Linked DNA regions of Canis lupus familiaris. The main gene of each other region encodes a partner of the protein of the gene in region 3 in a complex. Links are inferred from orthologs where the notes say so. Each region holds a gene or a part of one and is shown on either strand. Other genes may lie near its edges. The genes, in order: STAC3, CACNB3, CACNA1S, STAC2, CACNB1, CACNG1 and CACNB2.

Region 1 (2,477 bases), on a different chromosome or scaffold from region 3:
TTACTCTTCTGTTGCAGAGCCACTTTTATCTTCAAACACTGGCATACCCTTTGGCCCTCCATTCCCTGTACCAGAGCAGAGCCCCTGATCCTACTCCATTTCTAGGGATGGAGGTGGGTGACACTCACCATCCTGGGGTTTGCCTTCCTCTGGTCTGGCAGGCTCTGGCTCCTCTTCCATCACGGCTGCTAGAGGCTGGAGGGGGTACAAGAGTTAGGAAGATGCTCTCCTGGGAACCCATGCTTGCCCTGGCTCTCCAGCCAGGCCAGCCAACTATAGAATAATAGGATCTCAGGATTGGAAGGAGCCTTGGAGGAAATACCCAGTTCAACCACCAGCTTAATGCCTGAGCTTCCTGTAAAACATCCTGGCAGGTGGACCATCCACATTGTGCTTGAATGCAGCTAATGACAGGAGCTCACTACCTTACAAAGTAAGCTCATGCAATTTGAGGGCAATTCCCTAAATTTAACCTATTCAGTCTCCCTGTAACGTTTAGTCATCAGTCCTGATTTGGCCTCTGGAGCAACAGAGAACATAGTCCCTTTAAATCATCCCCTCCTCCATGATGCCGATTCTAGGATTTTTACTATGTCTGCTCTTAAAAATACTCCAGTGTGTAAGAGAAAAATGGGCAGCATGGTTTTTATAATTCCCTTAAGAGAAGAGAACCTGAGTGTGCTTGCCTTTCTGAAAGCAGTCAAATCACATTGCTAGGGCCTTGTAAGTCTTAGTTCATTCTACAGAAATCGCTAATTTGTACCCAACTTCCATATCAACTACTCAGAAGCCAATTCCTACAGTTTTTGTACAGTTGATTTCTTTGATCCAAGAGCAGACATGTTCATTTTCCTTACAAAACTTCAAATTATTGTTTTTGAGCTTTTCTTCTAGTCTCAAAATATTTGAATATACTATTCAGTGTATAAGTTTCCCCTCCTAGGTTTCTCACAGACTTAAGGGATAATACTATTTATATATTCATTTGTATCAATGAGAAAAATCTCTATAGATCAGTACTGAGGACCAACTCATGTTATAAGGTATCAGAAATCTCCCTTTAGCTAGGCACTCTCTAAAGGACCTGGATTCTTTGGGCATAGTCATTCATCCAATTTTAGGACTCCAACTAACTGTTATCCACATCAGTCCATCCTGGTTTTCCAGAAAGATATAAGGATATGCTAACAAATTCTTTGCCAAACTGAATGCAAGTCTATGGCATCACCAAACTAGTAACCCTATTACGAAAGGAAATGAAGTTGCTTTTGGGTGCTAGCCTAATGCTTCAGTTTCCTCATCTATAGGATAAGTGAGTAAGTTCAGATGATATTCATGGACCCTTCATGGCTCTAGAATTGATTGCTTGGCATGATAGGTTTGCTTCCCCAAATCCAAAAGCATGGCTCTTGCCTCTGTTGTCTAGCAATGCCAGGAGCCTGGGGACCTAACCTTCAGTAGGTTATGGTGCTTAATCTGACAATTCCAGAAGGGAGTTTCTAGAGAAAACACATGCTATGGCAGGAATTCTCAACCCAAGGCTCTCTAAAATTGCATGCAAAAATTTGTTGGGTTATGTGCAATTTTAGGGGAAGAGAATCCCTAGCTTCTGTCAGCTTTCCAGAGAGGAGACAGGACCTGCTCTGCGGAATCTCTTGGAGGGACCTCAAGAGGAAGGTATGGTGCTCACATTTTTCTTATCTGCCTGTCCTTTCTTCCGTTCCTTGTTTGCCATGATCACCCCAGTGCGCAAGGTTTCAAACACAGGATCATTGTGACTGGCCGCAGCTAGTGGGAATGGGAGAAGAAAGAAGCCATTACTGGGGAAGCAGAGAAAGACTTGAAGGAAAGAGAGACCTTCTAAGTAAGGGAGAGGTGGGATTAAGTAGACGGATACGTGTGTGTGTGTGTGTGTGTGTGTGTGTGTGTGTAGGATTAGGGTGGGGTCAGCTGGGCATATCTAGGTCATCAATCTATAAAGAGCTATAAAAACATCACTGGGAATGTAATGTGATGGAGAAAAATACTTACCAGCACTCCTTCCAGGCAGAGCATTATATGATGTTGGAAAGACAACTTTGCTAATAAGTTGCTTGGGAGTTGGGGAATGCTCACAATCACTATTCTCCTTTTAAGGAGAGTGGTCCTTTAACTGCTGGCTTTTCTGCTGAGTGGCATGTGCAAGCTGGAGTGCTGCCACCAGTGGGTTCTTCTTTTTTCCACCCATGCTCCTCATAAAGATCAGCCTCTCCTCCAAATAAATGTTGAGTAAAATTGTCAACGAATATGTTTGTAAGGGTTGCCAAATTATGAATCTGCCCAGGATGCCCACAGCTCTTGGTCTAGCCCTGAGACTGGTATTACTCTGTCACAAGGATGAGGACAGTCAAGAATCCTTGTTCTTACTTAGACATAGTTTTACATATGAAGAGCCCAGAGTTTGAAGCTAGGCAGATGAAGGTTTCAGTCTTGGCTTT
Region 2 (4,262 bases), on a different chromosome or scaffold from region 3:
AAGCGATGAGGAGCAGATTCCCGATTCACTCTCCTGGGTGTGAGAAACTGGGAGTGGGGAAGGCCTGAGCTCAGAGGGGCTCCAAGTGGAACCCTCTTTCTGTCTCACCTCCTCCTCTGGCGGGGGAGTGCGGCAGGTGGGTAATCAACATTCAAAGGAACAGTGTTGCTCAGGAGATGGAAGAAAGGAGGGAGCTCAAATGGGTGGATCTTTGGGGAAGTTTATTCCAGATAAGGGCTGCTGCTCGGTCTCTAACCCCACATCTCAGTGCTCCCTGGAAGGAGACTGACTGGTACAGCGCGGTACTGAGGCTCCAACCAGGATCCGGGCACCCCACCCCCATCCTTTCTCTAAGGAGGGAATCTGGCCTGACACTAGTGATTGGGTCGTCTTGCCCTTCCTTCCCCCTCCTAACCCCAGGGCGGCCGGGGTCCCACCTTCTGTCACGGCTCCCACAGTCCCCCTACCTCCACCCTCCGGGTTCTTCCCTCCTCCTTCAGGCTCCCCTAAAACAGCCCCTCCCTCCCCCAGTTCCCACGGATGCCTTGGCAATGCCTGGCACAGTCCTTGGCGAGGAAGGGAGGAAGGGAACCCCCATCCTGGCCAGACTAGGAGGGAATCTGCTCGCGCAACAGGTGTGGGGCGGCGGGACCCAAAGCCTCGCCCTTTGCGCGGGGTGGGCGACCTGGTCCTTGGCTGCAGGGTCCCAGCAAGGAGGGGGCCGAGCACCTGTCCGGGCCGGGGCCACTTTCACGGCAGTGGCCTGGGGTCGCCAAGCCCGTCCGTCCCCAGTGCCATCGCGGGGTGTGCCCTCGGAGTCTCGGGGCCGCCAGGGCCCAGGCCGGCCGCCCGGTCACCTGGGGCCCCTCCCCAGTCCGCCGCCCGTCCCCCGCCCCCGCGCTCCCCCGGTCTCCCCGGTTTCCTGTCTCCCCCTCCCTCCCCCGGCCTCGACCCGTCCTCCTCCGCCCGCCGCCTCCCGCCACCTGCGCCCCCCGCGTCCCCCGCGCGGGCGCCCCCTCCCCTGCTCCCCTCCCCCGCGCCAGCCCTTTGTTTCCCGGCGGAGTATTTCCTGGGTTGCCGAGCGTCCCCGTCTCCGCATCCCTCCTCGCCCCGCCTCCTCCGAGCCTGGGTCCGCCCCGCCCGCAGTCTCTCCTCCCCTTCCTCCCCGCCGCCCCGGTGCCCCGTAGGTGCCCGGGGACCCACCTCCCCCGGCCGCCGCCGGCCCCTCGCCCCGCCGGCCGCGGGCTCCGCGGCGCCCCCCGCGGCCCCCGCGCCCCCGCCGCGCGCTCCGGGGAGGGGTCAGGTGGGCGGGCACTATTGTTGTGGGAGCCGGAGCCAGATTCCTCAGCCGCGCTCGGGGTGGGACCGGCAGGGCTCGGGGGGTGGGGAGGGGAGCGGCGAGCGGAGCTCCGAGCAGCTGGTCTTCGCCGCTCGCTCCCTCCTTCGCGCTCTCGCTCCGCCGCCGCCCGCAGGGCTGCGGGGCTCGGTGGCACCTCGGGCGCGGCCCGCTGTCCTCGCCCCTGCTCGGGCTGCTCCCGCCCCGGCGCCGCGCGCTCCCCCCGCCCGGACTCCCCCATGTATGACGACTCCTACGTGCCCGGGTTTGAGGACTCGGAGGCGGTGAGTGCCCACGGTCGGGGGGGGGGGAGTTGGGGTGACTCCTCTTCTGCCTCGGACCCTTCCCCGGGTCAGGACTCCGAAAAACGCCCCAGTGCAGGGGCAGGGCGTGCAGGGGGGCGCTCCTAGGAGAGTGGGGGGGCGATCTTCCTGCCGAGGGCTTGCCAGGGCCCCAGTCCGAGAGCAAGGGGCACGGGGAGTGTGCCCGGCGGGGGGAGCGAGGGGGGCAAGGCGCAAGCAGGTGGCTCGGGCGCCCAGGACCGAGGGGTGGAGGGAGGACTGAGGGCGGGAGGCCGCGGGAGGCCGGCGCAGCGCCCCGAGGTCCCCAAGGGGGCTGGCCGGGCCGAACCCAGCAGCTACCGAGAGGCCGGGCTCTCTGTCTCTCTCCAGGGGGGCGACAGCTCAGACCTCCTGTGCTTCAAGTAAAGGACAATTCAGTCAGGAACCAGCCCCAGGAGGATCATAAACTTGGGGACCTCCATTATTCCCTCGGTTGCCCGAGCACTGCCTCGCGTCCTCGCCCTGCCTGGCCCAGCTCCTCTGGCAGGCTGGAAGCTGGGCACCCAGCACATGGGCCAGCTGACTAAGCCCCATGCGTTCCACGCCTCCTGCCCAGGCATCCTCAGAGCAGTGGGCTCGAGCTCCTGCTCAGCATGGAGGGCCCAGGGCCTGGGGATGGAGAGGAAGCGCTGCCTCCCAGAACCAGGCAACTGATAAATATTTAATTCTCCTCTTTGCTTTTATCTCCTGACCCACTGAGACAAATCAGCTCATTAGGCAGTGATTCCCGGAGCTCAGAGAGCAGGGAAAGTGCCTGGAAAGATGGGGCAAGGATGGGGAGCAGCTTCTCCGTCCCTTGTCTCAAACATCCTGCATGAAGGCCTCCTCTGGAGAGGACCACTAGGTGGCCTGGAAGGCTCCCTGATAGGTGTGGAGGGTAGAGCGCTCTGGTCAAAAGGGGAGTATTTGCGTTTTCTTCAGACTCTTGCCAAGCCCAGGGTACAGGAGTTCTGGGGTTCCGAGTGGGCGGCTCTCCGTCCTTTTCTGGGACTGGGCTCCTGCTGGGCCCAATTCCCCATTGGGCCTCTGGGGCTAATTACATTGCAGCTAGAGCAGATGATTTGCAAGGCTCTGGTGGACACCTCTTTCTGACAGTTGAAGGGACAGCTGGCACGGCCCAGGGTGCCAAGGTGAGCTTGAGAATGAGCCTCTCTGAGGGGATGGGAGGGCCCTAGAATGTTCTTCCCATCCCCGGTGAGAAGGCGAGGGCTGTTGCAAGGTAAAGACTGACATGGGGATGGTGCCGGGGCAGCCTGCTGCCCCCTCCTCGGCTCCCGACCCCTCACTGGTTCCTGGATCACCCTCCCCCACTTCCCTTTCTCTTGCCTGGCTCCTTGCTCTCCCTGAGGCCCCCTCTGAAGCAGTAGGAGGGAGATCAGGCTCTAAATAAATCCACCGGCTCATCTCCCTCCTCTCCTTCCCCCGTGCCAGGCAAGAGTGGAGCTGCAGCCTGCCCACACACTCACCAGGCAAGGGGGGCACCACCAGGGCACTGTGCCAACTCCTGGCAGCTCCAGAAGTACTGAGCCTCTGGCTGTTTTGGCATAACAGGGGGTGAGGGAGGCAAGACCCCAGAGCGCACTTGGCAGGGCAGCCCTGGCCTCCCAGGTGATACCAGAGCATGAGAGATGGCTGAGCTCTGGGGACTTGGGGATAATGGAGAGGGGGTTCCATTCCGAGCACAACCCATTAAACCTTTAGGGGGAGATCCTGTCATTTCCGTCCTGAGGTGAGAGGCCAGGTGACCCAGACGCCCCAGGCAGGGACATTAAGATTACTAAATTAGACGGAGAGCCCGTGGAGCAGAGGGTGAAGGTCAGACCCCTCCTCAGGCATAGGCCTGGACATCTAGGAGGCATCTGGTAGGTATTTATCAACTTGAGTGGTCATCCCGTCTTCTCTTGCCTCCTTCCCCTTGGCCCCTGTTCACTTCAGACAGCCATCTGCCATGGCTCCGACCCCTGAAAGGAGGTCCCCCGCTCCACTGACAGTCCAGAGGTTCTTCCCAGGGCTCAGCGGCTCTTGACCCTGCTGTCAAGCCAGCCTTACTTTGTTCTCAGGAGAGATGGGGACTAGCGGGCTGACTCTACTCCTCTGTAAAACGAAAGACTTTCCCCCCTTTGTGCTACCTTCATGCCTTCCATCTACCACAGACACTGTCTTTAGCTTAGGCTCCAGGCCCCAGGGTTAGCATCAAGCTGACCAGCGCTCCTGCTGACGGTGGGGCTGGGGCAGAGGGCCTGGGATACGTGAGCTTGTGTTCCCTACTGCGAGTCTGGCTTCAGCTGCCTTCTGTGAGTGGTCATGCACGGTGAGCTGGAAGGAATGTTCCTCAGTCGGAGGATATTCTAAAACCCCTTCCCTACACGCACAACACACTCCCACGTGGACCCCTCATCTAGACTCCGATCTTCTCTCTGCCGCCTGCACCTCAGAACTGATGGAGGTACCTCTTCAGGCTTCTGATCATAAGGGGGAAACTGAGGCAGAAAACAAAAGATTCCCTTTCCCCAAGGCATCCTGACTTCTACCCTCCCGTCCTGAGGTCCAGCTTCCCTTGCTCATTTGTGCGTCTCCCGCAGAGT
Region 3 (4,265 bases):
CACCGTGTTGGCAACGGCCGTCACGAGGGCAAGTCCTAAAGTCAGAGAGGCCTGAGTCGGAGACCCTCTTGCAGGACTTGCATGGGGGGAGGGGGTGACCCTGGGCAAAGTACTCAAACTCTCTGAGCCTCAGTTTCCTTCTCTTTTACACGGATTTAATGGTGTTGCCTCCCGGGGGTAGTTATGAGGATTAAGTAAGACAATAACGTAAAATATTTAGCACAGAACCTGGCGCCTCAGAAACGGTCACCGTGTTTACCAGGATCTAGCTGCTGGGTTGGGTCAGCGCTTCGCCTGCGTGGGGCTCAGGCTCCTCATCCGGAAACCAGCGAGGCGGGGAGGGGATGGGACCACGTGATCCCGGGGGATCCCTTCCAGGCCTGGCATTTTGTGGTCTGTGTCCCCGTTGTTGGTGATGGGCCGCGGAGAGCGAGGCACAGAGAGCGAGGCACAGAGCTCTAAAACACGCGCTCTCTGGGAATTCCTAGATCCCACTCTCCCAGGAGGCCAGTTCCTTCTGGACCGTGTCCAGGAAAGGGAAAGCAGCAGTCCGCCTCCCTCGCTCGGTAGCTGACCTTACAAGCCTTGCTTCCCGCATGTCAGATGGCGCCGCTCTACGGGGTGGCACTTTCTGAGCTCAGTCTCATAGGTGCTTAGCACAGTGCCCGGGCCCAGTCTCATAGGTGCTTAGCACGGTGCCTGGGCCCAGTCAGACGGAATCCAGAATTAGCCAGTTTACCTTGCAGAGCTGAGGAGTCGCTCGGCCAGCCCTGCAAGTGAGTGGGAAGCTCCGGTACTACCACCAGCAAGCAGCCCCCCAAGGGGGCCTCCCCCGGCCTGGGGCTGCAGGCCCGCACGAGGCACCTATCTTACCAGGCCAAGGTTGAGAGTGTTGTTGTCGTCTTCCGGCATGGGCAGGTACACAGCCAGAGCCACGCAGTTGGCAAAGATGGTGAGCAAGATGATTGTCTCGAAGGGTCTAGTGTCAGGGTCAAGGAGAGCCCTCGAGTGAGGCGTGGGGTTGGGACAGGCAGGGGTTGGCACCGTACACACCGGGGGCCCACGCTGCTCCTCCCCGCTCCCCTGTGGGGTCTCCCCAGGAACAGCTAACTTGGCTCGGCGGTGATGGGAGTGTGAAGCTCGGGTCCCGGCTCGGGGCTGCTCAGCTGTAGGGGCCCTGAGGTCTCACTGGTCCAGGCCCTGCCCATCCCCAGCCCTGCCCTGGGGGCCCTGACTTTCTGAGACTCTCACCAGACGACTTGGGGGACTCACTCAGAGAAATGGCAAGGGATGCGGGGGGCTGAGCATCCGCGGGAACAGGACCGGGAAAGGGTAAGCTGTGGGTGGAGCCTGAACCCCCCCAGCCCAAGGAACGAATGCGTGTGAGGCAATGAGTCAGCCGCCCACCCTGCCCCTCCCCAGCCGTGCTCACAGGCCGGGGTGTGCACCGCACACCTGCACACGCCTCCCTCCCAGGCACACGTGCCCCTCACAGTCGCTCCCCAGGGCCACCCCCGGGCCCTGTCCCTTGTGGGTGAGCAGTGTCCATGCATCCATGGGCCGAGCCATTGGATGGCGGGTGGTGGGGACAGGCTGCGGGGTGGGAGGCACATTGTGCAGAAGGTCTGGGCTTGTACCCCTTCCTCTTCCTCCCAGTGATTGCGAAGAGCTGGGCCGCAGGGCAGAGGCCTGCGGAGGAGAAGGTGCAGAGGAGCAGAGCACGGAGAAGCCACCCGGGGAAACCCGATCCCACAGGCCCGAGGGAGGCAGCGGTGCAGCTGTGGGGAACAGGGCTGACTCTGACCCCAGCTATTCCAATGGGTCCCCTGGTTTTCTCATCCTCCCAGTGATCCCGTATTCCCCTTTCTTCTAGGGAACAGCTGGTGGGAGCCCAGTCTTCCAGAACCCTAGAGAAATATTTCAAATATTCCTGACCTCTCTCTGAGAAGACGCTTGACACAGCCCCTCCCCCTAATCGCCTTCCTCCCTTCCCCAAATAACCCAGATATTTTCATCCTTCTTCCTCTCAGAGCTAGTGCAAACGGAGAAAGGGACTGCTAGTGCCTGTCCCCAGGGTGGTATGTGTGGGCGAAGACCGCCCGGCGTCTGGGCCCGCGCCCTCCCAGAGCCCGTCACAGCAGCCCTTTGTCCCAGGCCTTGTCTCCCTGGACTCCATCCCCAGCTGGACTCCCCTCACTCACTGGCAAGCTCTGCCCTCACACCCTCCCGTCAAGGGGGACAGTTGTCTTGCAGAGGCCCCTGCCTCTTTCTCTCCCCTCCTGTATCAAAAGGAGACTCTTGCCTCAGACCCCTCGGTGGAGCCCCCCGGTAATGGGATTTGGGGACACCTGCGGACCCCCCTCCGTGACACATCGGGCCCCTTCTGCAGGCCTCGGGCCCAGCACTCTCAGGCCTCAGTGGCTCCGCTCCTCCCGCTGTCCCTGTCCCCCTCAGCCGCAGCCTTCCTTACTGAGCAGCCCCCTGGCCCCCCAGCTCGGTGATCCGTGACCCTGCCCCCTCCCTGTCCCTGATGCCCTGCGGGTCCTGAAGGATACTTCCATTCCACAATGTTGATGCAGGCCTTCCTCAGGGGGTTCTGCAGGGTCAAGCAGAACAGGGCCCGGGGCGGCCTCGGCAGGATCTCCGGAACCGGCTTCTTGGGCTGTTTCTTCCTCAGGCCCTCGTCCTGGGGCGAGGACGGCTCCATGGCTCCCCTGGCAGTCCCGCTGCCCTCGCCTCCCTGCGTCCCCAGTGCCCCCGCCGTGGGGACTGGGCCAGTGGGGCCAAGTGAGCCCTGCTGAGCCAGCCCGGGGGCGGGGGCAGGAGGATTACTGTCCCTGCTCCCAGCAAGTAAAATTAGCCTCCGCTGGCTCCCCGCTGCTGGCTCCCTGCTGCCTGCCTGACTCTGAGGCCAGGCAGCTGTCATTCCCTCCCAGCCGGGCCAGTGACAGCCCAGCATGTCCCTGAGGACGTTGGTAGGGGGTGGCGGAAGGAACGTCCCCATGGGCCTGGGATGGGGGCAGTGGGAGACAGGACGGGAGGCTTCAAGCCTGGGGCCACAGAGAGTTCAGGAAGGGGGTGGCATCAAACTGCAGACGGGCTCCCCTGTGCCAAGACTCGCTGCCCCCGCTCCCTGGCCCCATGACACCCCCCCGAGAAGGTGCTGGGTGGCCTCGTTCAGCACCCTACCCCACAGCCCCATCCGTCCCCCAACCTGTGGCTGGCTACCAGGCCAGACACCCCCCACCCATGCCCACCGCACGGCAGGGAAAGCTAACCCCTCCTCAGAAGAATCTTGAACGAGCGCACTTCAGGCCCGGCACCCGCCACACGGCGCAGCGACCGTGTGCCTTGTACCCTGTCTCAGCCCCTGCAGCGCCTAACAGGACAGGGGCGGCGGCTTGACCCGGGACTGCGGCCCTCCCCGCCCCGCTGGGTGCACGACACTTTCCATAAAGGTCAGTGGGACGCAGAGCTAACAGCGCCCCACAGCCTCAGCAAGGGCCTGAGCTGTGGGTGGGAGTCCCCAGGGGCATCGGGGGAGTGAGGTAGATGACATCTGGGATCACAAAACTCAGCAAATCTTTTATTTAGCCTCTTGATACAAACAGTGCCGCATGGTCCCACCGCCCACAGAGGGGACACAGTCTGAGGGGAGACACGCAGTCCTCGAGCGACCGGGAGGGAAAAAGGATGAAAAGTCTACATGGGGGTGGGGGTGGGATGGGGGGCTAGGGGTGGCGGTGGGCGATCGCCCCCATCAGGAAAGCCAGAGGCACCACCCAGGCACACACATGGCCTCTCCCCCGGTCAGAGCTGGGCTGAGCGCAGGCAGCAGCCTGGCCTCTTGCCTCGACGGGGTGTCTGGGCTCCTCGGGGGCGGGGGCTGGCGGCGAGCAAGCTCCCAGGGCCCACTCTAGTTAGTATCTGAGGCCATCTCAGGCCATTTGGGGCCATCTCGGGGACAGCAAGGGCCTGGCTCATCCAAACCAAAGACCTCTGGCCTCCCGAGGGAGTCGCAGACGCGGGGCTGCACCTGACTGCGGGGCTGCACCTGCGATGGGGCTGCACCTGCGGTGGGGCTGCACCTGCGGCGGGCTGCACTTGCAGTGGGGCTGCACCTGCTACGACGCTGCACCCACTATGGCGCTGCACCCGCTGCGGGGCTGCACCTGCTGTGGGGCTGCACCTGCTGCGGGGCTGCACCTGCGGCGCCCGAGGTGGGAGGTTGGAGGTGGGCGAGGGCCCCCCTGATCTCCCCCGCC
Region 4 (3,111 bases), on a different chromosome or scaffold from region 3:
GACGGCCGTGATTGAGTCATCTCAGGGCCCCACTGGCGGCGACTGTCCCCGCCGCCAGCCTTTCTGCCTGCGGCTTGGCGGGTGGCGGGGGCGAGGCTGATCTCGGGTGGTCTTGGAGGGCACCCTGGGTGGGCAGAGCTGTGTGGATGCGCATAGTTGGGTGCCTGGCCCCTGCCGACGCAGATGTGCCTCGAGCCACAATGTGACCGCGGTGGTACCCTCTCCCCTTCCAGCGTCTGGCGACATCCCACTCCACCACACCCCTGCCAAGCTTTTCTTTTAAACTCCTCCCCAGATCCCCATCTCAGGCTGCTGAGGTGGGAGGGAGTGGGGAAGGCAAGGGGACCCCTGCGAGTGTGGGCCAACCCCAGCACCCCTCCCCTCAGAGATCCACAAATTCTTCCCCCTCCAAGCTAGTCTCCTTTTGGCACCTCCAGCCCCCGCCCCACTCCTTGCACCTTTCCATCCTCTCTCCCAAGCAGACACACAGAGCACACAGATTGGGACAAGAAACATTTATTTAAGGGTCTGGGGGCTCAGCAATGCCCCAGCAGACCCATCATGCAGCCTCATGTACAGTGGGCATCGGGCCCGCCCCTGGGATATTGCTGGGGGGGGCCTCATGGCAGCAAACAGGGCAGTGTGGCTTGAGCCCCCCTCCGAGGGGGGAGAAGTGGAGCAGGGGCTAGTGGGTATGGGAGGGTGTGACTGTGCCCAGGGTGGGGGCTGGCATTGGCTGGCACGATCAAGGGCACAAGAGGAGGCTCTGAGCTTGGGAGGGGAGAGGGAGGTTGGCACCAGAGAAAAACAACCTGTAAGGGAGGGGTCCTCTTTGTGTGCGCCCCCCCCCCTCCAGGGTGCCTACCCCCTCCTTTCCTGGTGGTCAAACAGAACTGTTGGCCTGCCTTAACCATCTCGCACTCCCTCTTCCTCCCAGGACTCTCTGTCCAGGATAAGGGTGCAGATTCGGTCAGAAGGGTCCCCTGCACTGAAGGAGGGGTCCCAGTGCTTCCTGCAAAGCCCAGAGGGAGAGGGCGAGGAAGAGCAGTGGCCTGGTCAGCCTTGAGGCAGGACTCCTGGGGTGGGCCTTGTGATACCCAGGACAGGAGGCAGCACAGGCTCCCCTGGGTGGCCAGCCCTGCCTCCTGCCACCAGGGACTTCTAGAGTCCTGACAGTGAAATGAGGGTTCTAAGCATAGGCTAGTTTTTTGTTCTCAGTCAGGTTTCTGGGTGCAAGTCATTCTGGAGTGTCCCTCTCCAGTGGATAAGGGTACCATGAGGCTGCTCTGTGGTGACTGTTCTCCTTGAAGAGACGGTCTCTGATCTACCACACTTTCCCCAGAACTCGGCCCTCCCCTCCTTTGTCCGCCCGTGGTTTCAAGTAATGGGAGAGATTCCCACAGAACTTTCCTGAGAATTGATGGAGTGACAGAGGTGGTGAAACCAGCAGGTGGACTCAGGATCCTCCTGCAGTCCTAAATCCCCTCCCACCGCCCCTGAACCCCCGGGGCGGAGGACTGAGGCACTCGGCCCCACTTCCTTCCAAAGGGACAGCCGCAGGGTCACACGCACATAGACCCAAGCAGGGGCTCCGCGGGGAGAGGGCAGTGGTGTCAGGCATGCAAAGGTGGTGTGGACATGGGAAGTGGGAAGGCCCTCTGGACAAAGCAGCAGGAGAGTTCCCCAGGAACACCCCCCTGCCCAGGGCTGCACTCAGCAAGGCAACTGGGGAGTGGGGTCTGGGCAGTGGCTGGACCTACCTGGAGCTTCCCTGTTCCCTCCCACTGTCCCCTCCTCCCTCACCCCTAAGTCCAGGGGAGCAAGCCCCTCGGGGTACCTTGGGACCCCAAAAATAAAACCTTCCTCCGTGCAGAAGGCTCCCAAGTCATGGGGAGTGGCCCCTAGGAGAGGTGGAGGGAGGAAGAGTGTGGGCAGATGCCTGTTCCTGTTCCCGGGGCCAGAAGCAAGGGCCAGGCATGGGCAGGGGTGGCAGCTGGGTTCTCTGGGCAACGCTCAGATCTCGGTCAGGGCGTCGGCTGGCACCAGGCCCCGCTTCTTGCCGCTGCTGACGCGAATGAAGCCGTCAGCATCCTTGCTCCTGCCCACGCCCACACAGATCTGAGTGGGAGAGATGCGAGCTGAGTCCTGGCTCTGCCTACAGCCCTGGCCCTGAGTCCTGCTGAGGGCTCCCAGGGGGCCACCCCAGGGGATGACGGGACCAGGAGCAGATGAAATTGGAGACATCAGCTGGGGGGAAGGGAGTAGATCCTATCAGGGTACTGGGCACGGTGGCAAGATCAGTAGACCCGGAGCAGCACTCTGGGGCTGACCTTTGAGACCAGCTGGCCTAACGCCCCGGCCAAACACCCATGTCACAGGGGAGGTTAAGGGGAGGAAAAGGGCTTATCGGGGGTTTACACAAGCCAGAGGCACAGCCAACATTCAAACCCAAGCCTCCGGACTCCTAATCTAGTGCTCTTCCCCTCCCCCAGGCTGTGTCTAACCAAATTCAGCCCCAATTCCCAGGGGGGGATGAGAGGGGGGCCCTGCAGTCCACCTCTCTGACCTGCCTTCCCTCCTGCTGTCAGGCTACAAGTGTCCTCCTCCAGGGCATTCACCTGTGCCCCTGCTGCCTCTCTCCCTCACCCACCTCTCCGGCTGCTGCAGGGCCCAGGCACTCACCTGGTTCTCCTTGAGGCTCATGTACCCCTGTTCCTTGTTCCCAGAGAAGGGCTGGCAGCAGCGCCAAACGTTCTCACCTGGCCTTACTCGCTGCACAAAATTGGCTGGGAAGAAGCCAACCCGGTCGCCAATCTTGCCCTGGGGATGAGGCTGGCAATGAGCACCAGTGCCACCCCCTCCCACGTTGCTTCTTCTAGACTTGATGCCCATTCTGAGCCAATGCCATCAAACACCAGATCCTGGACTTCCTGTATCCGAACCCCCAGTAAGGTGGCTTCTGCACTCAGAAGGGCATGAGGTGAGCAGAGGGACAGGCTGAGGCAGGGAGGGTCCAAGGGAGAGCAAGTCCCAAGTGCTGGTCCTAGGCTTGGCTAGGGCCCAAGGCTGAAGGAGGGGAGGTCTTTGGGCCTGGAGAGAAGGTGAGGCAGT
Region 5 (3,500 bases), on a different chromosome or scaffold from region 3:
TGTCTGAGGGGGAAGCAGGGAGGGGAAACCCCAGAGTGGAGATGGCATTAGCTCCTCTTCTGCAGCCTCCAGGCTCCCCCATGCACCCTTTCCTCCCTTGTTCCCAGAGCCCAGATGTGGGGGTCGAGGTCAGGGTGGGGAGGGATGGCCAAGGAGAACCAGGAAGGGTGAGGGAAGTGGGGGATGGGTGGGGAGGGCACAAGAATGGGTGTTAGAAGGTCCCACTAGCTCATCCCAGGGGGTGCAGAGGGGGACACAGAAAGCTGTGATACTCACCGACTTCTGCTTCTGTTTGGCTGGGTCCAGAGATTGCCAAGAGTGGGGAGGCAGGGGAGAGAGGGAAGGGCACCCAGGCAGGGGCAGAGGGCAAGGAAGGAGCCAGGACAAGAGAGGGAGGGAGAGCGGACGGACGAGGAGAGATAACAGGGCATGCGTGTTAGTGACAGACAGAGCCAGAGAGAAGGGACGGGACCCCATGCCAAGGGGGAGCCAGAGATGGCCCTAGACCAGGCCTGGGAGAAGGACTGTCAGTCCAGTGAACTTGGGACTATTTGGACATACCCTTCCCCTTTCTGGGTCTTGAGAAAGATCTGAGTAGGGTGACAGCCCCTAATTTGGTGCCCATCTCCTGCCCCTAGTGCAGTCCAACCTGTTGGTTTGAAGGGCTCCTTACACTGTCCTACAGTGCAGCCAGTAGACCCCATGCCCACCCTAGCCCCATGGAGTCCAAGAAGGACAAAGAAGGGTCTCCATTCCACTCTTCCCATCATAGGCAGGAGTGGAGGGCAAACATGGATTATCTCAGCTTCATCATCACCAGACCCTGCTTCCAGGGGTGGTGGGGTAAGGGGGTATGACCTTCCAAGGGAAGGGGTGCTTCGATTGCAAGAAACATCCCTTCCTGGGGGTGGGCCAGAGCACGGCTGTGTGCGGAGCTGGATGTGCCCATTCTTACCATTCCACCCTCCCCGCTCCTTGGCAGGAGGCCCTACTCCCCATGGAATCTGGCCGGTACCGCATCCGAATCCTTTCCAGCCCCTCCCCCTGCCAAAAAGCTGGGCCCTGACCCTCTGCCCTCTTGCCAGAGCCCAGCAAGAATTACCTTCTTGAAGAAGGGGATGCGTTTGCCATGGGGTGGCGGGGTGGTGACACTGCTAACACTAGTCTTGGCAGAGCCGCTCTGCTCCCCGAGCTCTGCCTCCTCGTCGTCTAGCTCTAGGGGGTCTAGTTCAAAGGCTAAGTTAGTCATCTCATTACCTGGACCGCAGTCAGGAGAGAGGAGGGAGGCGAGGTGGGGAGGAGTGGGATGGACATGGAGACACAAGTACAGAAGGCAGGGATGGGATGGGGGAAAAAGAAAGAAGAAGAGGTGAATGGAACAGAGCCAGGAGAAATGAATGGGGGTGGGGCAGGGGAGTCAGGCAGAGAGATGGAGCTACCAAAGAAACGGGAAGGAGAGACATGAGAGAATGGGCGCTGACAGGCCCAGCTTGTGGGGTATCCTACTCTTCACGGAGGGGGTACCGCTGGATGTGTTTGAAGGACTCAGGACTGGGGTGCCCCCTACTGCAGGGAAAGGAGGGGACAGGCAGTGGGGAGACGACCCCACCCAGGAGCCACCCCCCCACCCCCACCCCACGGTTCCCTAAGGTGGCAGCAGCTCTTACCACTGGCAGGGGGTGTGGGGCGGCGGGTGCCAGTCACCACGTCTCCTAGGCTGGAGCTGGAGTTGTCACCTGATTTGCTGTGTGGGCAGAGAGGCAAATGGAGCTGTGAGCAGAGGGGTGGGCGTGAGGTGGGGGAAGCCTGTTCTCTCACTTGCTGCCTGCCCCCCACTCTCCTGGAAATTCTCCAGCCCCACTGGTGACATCACAGGAGGCTGGGCCCTCAGGGCAACGAACGGGTCAATCCTTGAGGCCCAGTCCCAACTAGATGGTCTGTCGGCGTTCCCCAGCTAGACACCTGGAGCTGAGGCGATTCTGACGCAGCTTCTGTTCCTGCAGGAGGCGCAGGCTGTCCAGCTTGACAGGGCTGGGGATGAAGCCAACCTCACAGCCCTCCTTCACCAGTCGCCCAATCCACCAGTCATTATTATATTTCTGCAAACAGCAATAGCAGGTGAGGTGGAAGAGAGCAAGAGAGAGGTTGGAGGGGCAAGCCAGCAGCCGCCCTTGGGAGAAACCACCAGGGACCTGCCAAGCTGCCCAGGGGGTGGCACCTTCAAAGAGCCAGCCCCTGGCACAGCCCCCAGTTCTCAGAACAACTTCATGACCTGAGTTCTCTTGGGCCATGGACCACCCCAGCCCCAGCACATCCCTGTCCCACCATGCACCCACCCTCCTCTGGAAAGATAGCAAGAGGAAAGGAAGCTGACACCCACATATGCCCACACACTGCCGCTCCACTGACACATCTCATCACAAACCCTCTCAACAACCGTGTGACCTAGGCATTGCCACCGCATTTACCAACGCAAATCAGAGAGGCTCAGGGAGGTAGAGATTTGTCTAAGGTCATACAGCAGATTCAGCCAAGCTCTGTTGGGTTCAGAAGTCTTTTTCCACTAGAGCTCTGGCTGTCCCTCTCCTGATGCCCACTACCCTGCCCTCCTTCCAGATATGAAGCGCTCACTCCACCTCTTTGATGTGCAGAAAGTCCTTGGGCTCAAAGGTGATGGCCACTCCCTGCACTGGCACTTCATCCCCTGGAGATGGGTTGTAGCCGACATTTGTCCGCACAGCAAATGCCACCGGCTTGGTCTAGAGGTGAACAGGGAGAATGACAACCAGAGGGTTAAGTCAAGATGTACCATCCTGGGGTAAGGATGATGTGAAGGTTTGTTTTGTTGATCATTAACAAGTATACTGAATGATTTAAGTAGTTTTCCTGTATGTGCATTAAATTTTACAATAAAAAACAATAGAGGGGATCCCTGGGTGGCGCAGCGGTTTGGCGCCTGCCTTTGGCCCAGGGCGCGATCCTGGAGACCCGGGATCGAGTCCCACGTCAGGCTCCCGGTGCATGGAGCCTGCTTCTCCCTCTGCCTGTGTCTCTGCCTCTCTCTCTCTCTTTGTGACTATCATAAATAAATAAAATTAAAAAAAATAAAAATAAAATAAAATAAAATAAAAAACAATAGAATTCAGCCTTCTCAAGATGGAGGGGGCCACTGAGGATGGTAAGTATTAGCCTGGAGTAACACCCAGAAAGAATATTAGTAATAATAATAATAATAATAATGACAGCAGAGCGTCTGGGTGGCTCAGTCAGTTAAGTGCTGCCTTTGACTCAGGTCATGATCCCAGGGTCCTGGGTTCAAGCCTCATTTTGGGGTTCCCTGCTCAGTGGGGAGTCTGCTTCTCCCTCTCCCCCTGCTCATGCTCTCTCTCTCTCTTGCTATGTCTCAAATAAATATAATCTTAAAAAAAAAATAACAGCAGCTATGGTTTACTGTGCTAAGTACCATGTGACATATTTTACAAACATTACCTCATTTATTT
Region 6 (4,236 bases), on a different chromosome or scaffold from region 3:
TTGTTTTTGCCAAATGCCCCCTGAGAAAAAGACTGTTTCCACTGAGTGAGCTCAGCATCAGGTCAAATAAAGACAACCTTACAAGTGGGGACTTCCAGGGAACCACCAGGCAGATCAAATAATGACAGTTCTCTGGGAATGAGGCTTTGAATGAGATCCAGCCCCATCTGTCCCCTTTGGGGGCTAAATTTACACTGTTTGCAGGCTATTGGTTTTCAAGGCTCTAATAGACTTGGGGAGTGGGGAACAGAAATAGAGCAAGTTAAAGCACCACAAAACTCACCATTCTGACTCAGATTCACCTGTTTTTCTTGAATAAGCACTCACTGGATTGCTGCAAGATTCGTTAGTGTCCAGGGTTCTGAAAAGGTTTGTTCTGACCGTGTTTTGCTAGAGTTCTCATTGTCTTTATGGAGAAGACATTTAGGGGGATTCTTACCCTGCCATTTCTTCTGATGTCATTCAAAGTTAAAAGATGGGAGGCACTGAAAACAATATTTGGCAGATTTGTGTTTGCGGTCCCTATTACTGCTATTAATAATAAGCGAGAGAACATGTATGCACTCTCTTCCTCCCTCTAGAAAAAAGTAACCCCACAGAGCACAGGAAAGGTGGGTGGGGAAGGTGTCCATCTGCAGAGAAAGGAGAGGGGAGATTGCTGGCACATACTTCAGAAGCTTGTCAAGGGTAGGGCTGGGCTCACAAGCGTGGGAGGTATGATTCACTCTGGAGCGGGGCAAGAAGGCGTAGAGATAGACTCTGGTCAGGGTCAGGACCAAACCATGCCTGTCGGGCCTGTGCAGCTAACCTCTTGCTAGTTTGTCCCTTCCTTGTATGGACTTGCCTCGCCTCCTTGCTCATCTGCTCTATAAACTCAGCAGACTTTAAAAGGTGGGTGCCTCTGAGGACAGGTGGACGGGACCATGGCAGGGCACTCCCATGCGTGGTCCGTGGAGAATCTGCCTCCCCCTGCCCTGCCCCACCCATGGGAATTGGCTGGATGATGCATCTGTTTACGGCTGTGCTGGGCCGGGGCTGAAGGAGCGCGGACATGTGAGCTACGTGATACCCTTCAAGCACATGTCCACGTCTGTTAAAGCCCTCGGCCCGGGGACGCAGTGTTTCTAAGACAGCTGGGTATTTACGAGTCTTCTGTGTGTCCAGGGGGAATGAGCGAGGCAGGGGTTTTCTAGAGCCAGCAGGAGGGAAAAGAGGAGGAAAAGGAGAAGTAGAGGAATGGGGTTTGGGCTCCTTTGTCCCATGCACAGACTGCAAGATCTCTGGGGACTTAGCCCTGACTTCCTTGAAAGTTCAAGGAACTGGGTTCAAGGAACACCCAGTCTGATAACAGAGGGAATAATTCTGCAAGGCAGGTGGGTCCCTGTACTCGCCTTGGCCCACTGTCACCTTACGGTGCCATTTGTAAAGGCTGAAAGGGGCTTTGCAGAGCCCGAACACTGTATTTTACAGGGGGAAGCAGAGGCCGCAATGGGCATGGTGGACCCCAGAGTCATTGGAGTGTCGTGGGCAATGCACGCAGAGCCCAGTCCTCTGGTTCTCCACGCAGGGCTCTTTCCCCAGCGTGTGCTCTGTTCGCTATGAGTGTGGAGGGCTCCGCATTTGTAGCATAGACTGGTCACCCTAATACCACCCTGATCCTTCACGAGGAGCTCACCTCGGATGTGCGGTTCGGTCACAGGGTAGGAAAATTGGGGAACGCACTGAAATCAGAGCAGGAGGACACGCATCCCAGCTCCGAGGGGTCTGAGCTAAGAGAGGATGTGCAGGTGTGACAGTTCTGACAAAAGGCGGGAGGCTCGTCTACGACCGGGCCCTGCTTTACAGATGTGTGGCTTCTGCGGTCAACCAAGGCCCTGCACACAGAAGGGACCCACACTCGGCTCCGTGCGTCACTGTTACCATCTCGAAATCCTTAAAAATATTCACAAAGAGCCCTGCGTTTTCATTTTGCGCTATGCTGTGCAAATCTGGTGGCTGACCCTGGGGAGTGACCGTGCCAGCCGCACATGTCCCTGCAGCCTGAGGACTTAGGGCCACTGAACCTGTCTGTGCAGGGAGAAAGGAAAGCGGGGTCACCCAGAAGGGTGGCCACTGCGGGGGCCAGGGCCTCAGGCCTGTTAGGCCCAGGTGGGTAGCCCCCTGCTCAGGGTGAAGGCCGGGAGCCTCTGCGGGACAGAAAGAGGGACAGGCGCCCTGGCTTTACAAGCGGCCCTGGCCAGTAGGACAGAGGCCGTTCGGATCCTCTTCCCTGGGCACCGAGGCTGGGCACGATCTCTGCTCTGAGGCAGGGAAACCTGCCCTCTTTCCCAGCGGCACCTTTTCCAGGGGCAGGAAGCAGGGCAGGAGGCAGGGATGGGGTCAGAGGGTGGGTACGTTACCCCCAGGCAGGGTGATGGGTCCGCACGTCTTGTCCTTGCTGTCAGTCATGACAATGCGCTTGGTGCAAATCCGCCAGAGGCCGAAGTGGGCCGCCTCGCAGGTGGCATTGTGGTGCTTCACCTCGGGGCTCAGCACGGCCCAGTGGTCGGTCACCACGGCCACCAAGGCCAGCACGATGCCCACCAGGATGCAGAAGAGGGTCGCGCGGACCTTCGGCGCTTTGGTCTGGGACATGGTGGTGGCGGAGGAGTGGGTGCCCTGGGCACAGTCTGGTGGCAGTGTGTCCCGCGCAGGTGGCAGCCAGGCTGGGGAGGTGGCGGTGATTATCGAGCTGGGGGTGGAAGCTAAGTTTAGTGCGTCCGGCTGAGCCAGAGTGGGCTGGCCTCGGGGCTGAGGGACACCAGACGGGGCTGAGCAGCTGCCCAGACGTGTCAGGGGCCTGAGGGAGGCTTCTATTAATGCACATCCCAGGCGTGTCACCGAGGATAGCTTCTCCTCGGGTTTCAGGACTTTCTTTCCCTCCTGAGACCTAAAATACCTCAAGGAGGGGCAGGGAGAGAAGGCTCTAGATGGTGACTTGGGATCTCCACGATTAGCAGCTCAGGATACCTGAGTTGGAGGCAGTGAGGGATAGGCCACAGGGATACTAGATGTGTGGGAATGTGCTTGCTCTGGGCTGCAGGAGGAGGCGATACAGCTGGGTGACGGCAGGGGACCCTGCGGGACACAGGTACCACAGCCCAGCTCCCACACTGGGCAGGCCGGTCACCAGTGCAAAGGGGTGTGAGTGGGTCCTTGTCCTGGGGGTCTGGGGAATGCAGGAGCCTGCGTGGGGACATCTTGGGGCTCCTCCACCAGAACCACCAGGGGCCCACCTCCCTGGCTTTAGCCTCAAGTCCTAGCACAACCCTAAACTGCGGGAAGATTCCTGGTGGTTCCTGGGCCTGGCATTACCCAGCACTGTGCCTGGCGTGGGAATGCTTTTTCCTTTTCAATTCTCCTCCCACCCCTTCAACTGGGTCCAGAAGGAAAGGAAGTCTTTAGCTAACCTTTCTGATGCTTGCGAATCAAAGACTAGCTTGGAGAGGACAAGGAATCTAGCTGGACCTGACTGTCGTTCTGTTTTTATTTTACTGTTTGAGTTTTACTTCTATTAACGTTTCGCCAGTTCTGTTTTCATTTACAAAATAAATATATTTAAGTTAAAAACAACAGAAGTGGGTTGGTCGGCAGGGAACTGTGAAGAGGCTGATGGTGTGTGGACACAGCAGAGGACAGAGGACAGTTTGGGATGGCCCCCAGAGAGTCCTGCGAGCCCGTATGTCCCCCACCCCAGGCTCGAGCCCCTGGATCCCTCCTGGGTTCTGCATCTCTCTCTCTCTTTCTTTTTAAGATTTTATTTATTCATGAGAGACACAAAGAGAGAAGCAGAGACATAGGCAGAGGGAGAAGCAGGCTCCACGCAGGGAGCCTGATGTAGGACTCGATCCCAGGACCCTGAGATCATGACCTGAGACGAAGGAAGATGCTTAACAGACTGAGCCACCCAGGCGCCCCTCTGCATCTCTTCTTTATCAATTGACCAGTTGCCTCTTCTAGGGTCTATCCAAGAGGCTAGTGTGTGGCCAAGAATAGACCCCTGAGCTGGGCAGGGTTTTGACTTCAAAATCCCAGCCTCAGGCTGACACAGCTCACAGAAATACTCTGCCTGTGGGCGGAGAAGCACTCAGGCGTCCAGCCTTGGAGTCACAGACTGTTAATAATAACGATAATCATAGGAACCGCGCATCTTGTGTATCTATTGTATATCACGTGTTGTGGTAAACCTTTCCACAT
Region 7 (3,958 bases), on a different chromosome or scaffold from region 3:
AAGCAAGGAGATGGATGCGGGTGCAGCTGAATATTTATACCTCTAACCTGCTTATAATAGCCTTTCCTCCCCTTTTCCTGTCTCTCGTGTATTTATGCACTCACTTGCCAGTTCCCGTCCATTGAGTCTTTGAAGTGTCCCATGCACGGGCCTGTCATATCCATTATCTTGCCTCTCCCTTTAGTTTAGGCCTTGTTATCTCTTGTCCAAACTGCTATACCAATCTCCCGTCTGGCAGCTCCACCTCTGCACTCCTGAAACTCTAAAATACCTTCCAGAACATTCCCAGGTGAATCTTCTGAATGAGCTGTTACATAACTCTTTGGTTGAACCCCTTTCGTGGTTCCCGATCATTCATTACACCCAGGTTCCAACGCCTCCAAGATGTGGCCTCAAATTGTTTTGTCGGTCTTACATCTAACTATGCCCTATCCGTACCTTTCCACACCCTCTTCAAGCTACACGTGATAAATAGAAGACTTACAACTTCCGTGACTTTGCTTCCTATATGGCTTCCACCATCTCTCTGACAATCTCGGATCAAATCTCACCCATCCTTGGAATCTTTTCTCGAAAGCCCCCTCTTCCACGAAGCCCTTAGAGATTACTCCGTATAGAATGTCTGTGATCTTTACTCCCCAGAAACCAGTACTTCCCCTATAGTCCTCTACCACACAACTGTCATTTGTCTGTCACACTTGCAGCCACCGGAATATCAGTTCTTTGAAGGCAGCAGCGCTGTCTCCTCACATCTGAATCATTTCCACACTGCAGTTAACAACAAATATTTGTTGGTTTGCATTTAATGACATAAATCACTACGTGAATGAAGTATTTACTTATCTAATTGCAGTCACACTTTCTGTCGGCTTAACTTTGATCACCAGGAATTCAGGAACTGTTTTTATCAGAAGAATAAAAATTTAAAAAAACAAAAAAATCCCCAAAGGAAGGAAGATCAAAGGGGGAAAAAAAAGGGTCTCAAAGTCTTTTCTTCTATCAAAAGTCAAGACCTTCATCCTGGAATAACTGAGTTCTCTAAGTACATTTCTCCTCTCATCTAACCTGATTAAGTGTCTAGATAAAATCAGGAGTCTAGAACAAACGTGACATGTGCTGGTAAGAATTCAGGTCCCCTGGCAGAAACTAGATGGAAATGTAGGTGGTTAGTTACATGTCCTCCCTCTGGCTCAGCAGCCAAACAGCCCAAGGCCGACTAAAATCTAACTGTCCTACTGAAAGAAATGGGTTTCTGATTACACAACTTGTTGGTTTCTACATTTTTCCTCCATCTCAAATCAAAGTGAATTATGTATTTTAAGTTAGCAAGGTTATTTCCCAGTGGTCAAAAAAAAAAAAAAAACTCACTAAAGCTCCATGATTATGCCGCTGGAATGACCATTATTATTAACAGTATCAAAATATCTGGAGCAGTCCATTTCCATCCCCTACCAAAACAAGAAAGGCAACAAGATATTGGCAACCTTTATTAGGGAATCCTACTCTCGCACCCATTGCTACAGCAAATACTCCGCTATCTGTTGAGCATATATAAATATAAAATAACACATTTATAAGGTTTTTTTTTTTTTTTGTAAATACAGAAATACGTAACCACCCCCATTTACAATCCAGCAAATACAGGTATGAAATCAACAAGCCCATATCGCAAAGGAGAGAGATTTTTTTTTTTTTCCAAAATGATGCTTGCAATAGAGCCCTAACCTCTTTCTTCCCAGCCCTCGCCCCGCAGCCCCGCAGCCGGGAGTCTGGAGTCCTTGCCCTGCCAGGATAAAAGTTGAGAGGCTCCTTACCGCGGAGACCTGGAGGCGTCTGTAATCCAAACTGTACCTGCCAAAGCCTTACGTAAAAGCCGCCACCTTATCATCGCCCAACGCCTAGACCGGCATCTCCTGTTTCACCAGGAGCCGCGAACCCGCTAGCACCCGTCGCCGGGAAGGTGGTCCCGAGCTGTCTGGACCTGGCCAGCGCTCCGGGGCGGGGGGGGGGGGGGGGCACGGACAAACTTTGGCGCCCCCGGCTCGCGGGCTGCAGGGCGAGGAGCGAGGGGCGCAGGCGAGCGGCGGCGAGAGGCGAGGGCAGCGCGGCCGTCCAGGCGGCGGGACGCCCAGGTGCGGAGGGCGGGGGTGCGGGCCGCGGCGCAGGGTGGCGCCCCCCGCCCAGCCCGGCTCCCACTCGCCCCCAGGGTGGGCGTGCGCGCCGAGCCCCTCCCGCCCGCCCCGACTCACGATCCTGAGCAGGTCCAGTCCGCTCGCCTGGTTCATGTCTCTCCATGTGCCTCTCCCGGGAAGGGGCGAGGGGGGGGGGGGGGCTGAGCGGGCGCCCTCCCGGGGGCCGCCTCTGAGCCCCGGCGGGTCTCCCCCGCCCCTTCCCACTTGCTTTTCGGAAGCGGAGAAAGATGGAAGCCGCAGGAGAGCGGGGGGACCGGCGACGAGGGCAGGGTCCCCGGCGCGGGGAGAGGAGAGTGGGCGGCCGCGGGCGAGGTGGGGTCGGGGGCACCAGGCGAGGCGAGGCGAGGCGAGGCGAGGGATCGCAGCGGAGGAGAAGGGGGGAGGGGGAGGGGGAGGGGGTCGGCGCCCCCGCGGCTCACAAAGAAGGAGCAGGCGCGGCCCCGGCTACCTGTGCGGCCGCTCCGAGCGCCCCCGCGGGCGCCGCGCTCTCCAGCAGCTCCATCGGGATCTCCTGCGCCGCCGCCGCCGCCGCCGCCGCCGCTGTGGGAGGCGACTTGGACATGTCGCTCTGGACCATTGGCGAAAAGTCGGCTGGAAGCTAGCAGCCGGCCCCTGGCGGCGGGTCCCCTCCTCCCCTCCGCTCCCCGCCCCCCGCGCCCCGCTGCCCGCTCCGGGGGCCGCTCTCCGGGCGCGGGACGCCGCCGGGCGGGCTTGGGAGGCGAGGCGCGGGGCGCGGGGCGCGGGCGCGGGCGCGGGGGGCGCGGGGCGGGGCGGGGCGGGGCGGGCGGAGCGCGGGGCGGCGGGGACGCGAGCGGCGGGCGCCCGGGAAGGTCCCCGCGGGAGGGGCGGGGGGCGGGGGCGGGGGCTCGGGGCGCGCGAGCCCGGGGGGAGGCGCGTCGGAAAGCGAGAGTGACAGGGCGGCCGAGCGCCGCGAAGTTCCCCGCGGGGGGCGCGGGCCGCGTGGGCTCCGGCCCAGCCGCCGCCCGCCGCCGTGGCACGCGCGCTGGAAACTTTTCAAAGCCGCGAGAGCGAGGCCTGGCGCCCGGGAAGCCGCCTCGCGGCCCGGAGCGCGGATGGCGCGGGCTCCCGGGCTGCGGCGGAGGCCTCGGGCGGCGGCGGGCGGCCCAGCCGACCCGGCCCGCGCGACCCCGGCGACCCCGGCGACCCGGGGGGCGCGGTCCCGCCCGAGCCCGCCGCCGCCTCCACCGCCAGCTGCAGGCCCCGCCCCCCCAGCCCCAGCCCCAGCCCCAGCCCCGAGGTTCCCTTCCCGACCCCTGTGTGTCTTCCCTCTGCCAAGCAGCCCTGCTTTCCTCTACTTTTTTTTTTTTTTTTTTTTTTTCCTGCAAAGTAGACGAGTCTTGCTATCACGTTTGGGACAAAATAAGCACCTCTCTACTACCTTGAATTCCTGGTAAAGAGGGTGTAGTGCATGTAGCAACAACTTGTCGCTGCAACAGCACTCCGTGTGGATACTCCGGCCGAGGCTCGTTGCCCGGTAGAGGGAGGATGCGTCTGGTTCCAGCGAGCCTTCCAGGCATCGGTATTGTTCTGTAACAGTACAGCCTCTGCGGGGTTGGGTGCTGAAACGTGCATACACAAGTTTACTCCTCTAGGTTTCACCTCCCTTTTCTATTTTGCCATGGTATATAATTTTTTTTAAGATTTTATTTATTTATTCATGAGAAACACAGAGAGGAGAGAGAGAGAGGCAGAGACATAGGCAGAGGCAGAAGCAGGCTCCATGCAGGGAGCCCGACGTGAGACTC

What was found.
Region 1: CACNA1S (region 3) and STAC3 share a complex: the UniProt entries of both Homo sapiens proteins name them as parts of the calcium channel complex. The link is inferred for Canis lupus familiaris from reciprocal best matches to the Homo sapiens genes CACNA1S and STAC3.
Region 2: CACNA1S (region 3) and CACNB3 share a complex: the UniProt entries of both Homo sapiens proteins name them as parts of the calcium channel complex. The link is inferred for Canis lupus familiaris from reciprocal best matches to the Homo sapiens genes CACNA1S and CACNB3.
Region 4: the proteins of CACNA1S (region 3) and STAC2 are in contact, whole or in part, in a crystal structure (PDB 6B27), measured with the Homo sapiens proteins. The link is inferred for Canis lupus familiaris from reciprocal best matches to the Homo sapiens genes CACNA1S and STAC2. Residues at the interface, in NP_000060.2 of Homo sapiens: Glu749, Pro750, Glu751, Ile752, Pro753, Ser755, Pro756, Arg757, Pro758; in NP_945344.1 of Homo sapiens: Tyr301, Lys302, Phe303, Gln306, Glu307, Asp310, Asn326, Asp328, Trp329, Phe340, Pro342, Asn344, Phe345.
Region 5: CACNA1S (region 3) and CACNB1 share a complex: the UniProt entries of both Homo sapiens proteins name them as parts of the calcium channel complex. The link is inferred for Canis lupus familiaris from reciprocal best matches to the Homo sapiens genes CACNA1S and CACNB1.
Region 6: CACNA1S (region 3) and CACNG1 share a complex: the UniProt entries of both Homo sapiens proteins name them as parts of the calcium channel complex. The link is inferred for Canis lupus familiaris from reciprocal best matches to the Homo sapiens genes CACNA1S and CACNG1.
Region 7: CACNA1S (region 3) and CACNB2 share a complex: the UniProt entries of both Homo sapiens proteins name them as parts of the calcium channel complex. The link is inferred for Canis lupus familiaris from reciprocal best matches to the Homo sapiens genes CACNA1S and CACNB2.

Annotation. Positions count from the first base shown.
Region 1 is NC_049231.1:1,726,197-1,728,673, forward strand, and holds part of STAC3 (SH3 and cysteine-rich domain-containing protein 3), read right to left. Parts: intron 2,247-2,477; exon of another isoform or gene 2,032-2,246; intron 1,789-2,031; coding exon 1,691-1,788; intron 196-1,690; coding exon 129-195; intron 1-128. UniProt on the Homo sapiens protein: Required for normal excitation-contraction coupling in skeletal muscle and for normal muscle contraction in response to membrane depolarization. Required for normal Ca(2+) release from the sarcplasmic reticulum, which ultimately leads to muscle contraction.
Region 2 is NC_049248.1:40,934,182-40,938,443, forward strand, and holds the start of CACNB3 (voltage-dependent L-type calcium channel subunit beta-3), read left to right. Parts: upstream 1-1,462; 5' UTR 1,463-1,575; coding exon 1,576-1,620; intron 1,621-4,262. UniProt on the Homo sapiens protein: Regulatory subunit of the voltage-gated calcium channel that gives rise to L-type calcium currents. Increases CACNA1B peak calcium current and shifts the voltage dependencies of channel activation and inactivation.
Region 3 is NC_049228.1:1,869,784-1,874,048, reverse strand, and holds the start of CACNA1S (voltage-dependent L-type calcium channel subunit alpha-1S), read right to left. Parts: upstream 2,801-4,265; 5' UTR 2,708-2,800; coding exon 2,556-2,707; intron 980-2,555; coding exon 874-979; intron 1-873. UniProt on the Homo sapiens protein: Pore-forming, alpha-1S subunit of the voltage-gated calcium channel that gives rise to L-type calcium currents in skeletal muscle.
Region 4 is NC_049230.1:23,115,706-23,118,816, reverse strand, and holds the end of STAC2 (SH3 and cysteine-rich domain-containing protein 2), read right to left. Parts: intron 2,981-3,111; exon of another isoform or gene 2,880-2,980; intron 2,821-2,879; coding exon 2,683-2,820; intron 2,119-2,682; coding exon 2,014-2,118; 3' UTR 501-2,013; downstream 1-500. UniProt on the Homo sapiens protein: Plays a redundant role in promoting the expression of calcium channel CACNA1S at the cell membrane, and thereby contributes to increased channel activity. Slows down the inactivation rate of the calcium channel CACNA1C.
Region 5 is NC_049230.1:23,137,233-23,140,732, reverse strand, and holds part of CACNB1 (voltage-dependent L-type calcium channel subunit beta-1), read right to left. Parts: intron 2,760-3,500; coding exon 2,637-2,759; intron 2,100-2,636; coding exon 1,963-2,099; intron 1,745-1,962; coding exon 1,668-1,744; intron 1,258-1,667; coding exon 1,103-1,257; intron 297-1,102; coding exon of another isoform or gene 277-296; intron 4-276; coding exon 1-3. UniProt on the Homo sapiens protein: Regulatory subunit of L-type calcium channels. Regulates the activity of L-type calcium channels that contain CACNA1A as pore-forming subunit.
Region 6 is NC_049230.1:13,485,543-13,489,778, reverse strand, and holds the start of CACNG1 (voltage-dependent calcium channel gamma-1 subunit), read right to left. Parts: upstream 2,801-4,236; 5' UTR 2,635-2,800; coding exon 2,400-2,634; intron 1-2,399. UniProt on the Homo sapiens protein: Regulatory subunit of the voltage-gated calcium channel that gives rise to L-type calcium currents in skeletal muscle. Regulates channel inactivation kinetics.
Region 7 is NC_049223.1:17,855,169-17,859,126, forward strand, and holds the start of CACNB2 (voltage-dependent L-type calcium channel subunit beta-2), read right to left. Parts: upstream 2,801-3,958; 5' UTR 2,770-2,800; coding exon 2,641-2,769; intron 2,301-2,640; exon of another isoform or gene 2,286-2,300; coding exon of another isoform or gene 2,250-2,285; intron 1-2,249. UniProt on the Homo sapiens protein: Beta subunit of voltage-dependent calcium channels which contributes to the function of the calcium channel by increasing peak calcium current. Plays a role in shifting voltage dependencies of activation and inactivation of the channel.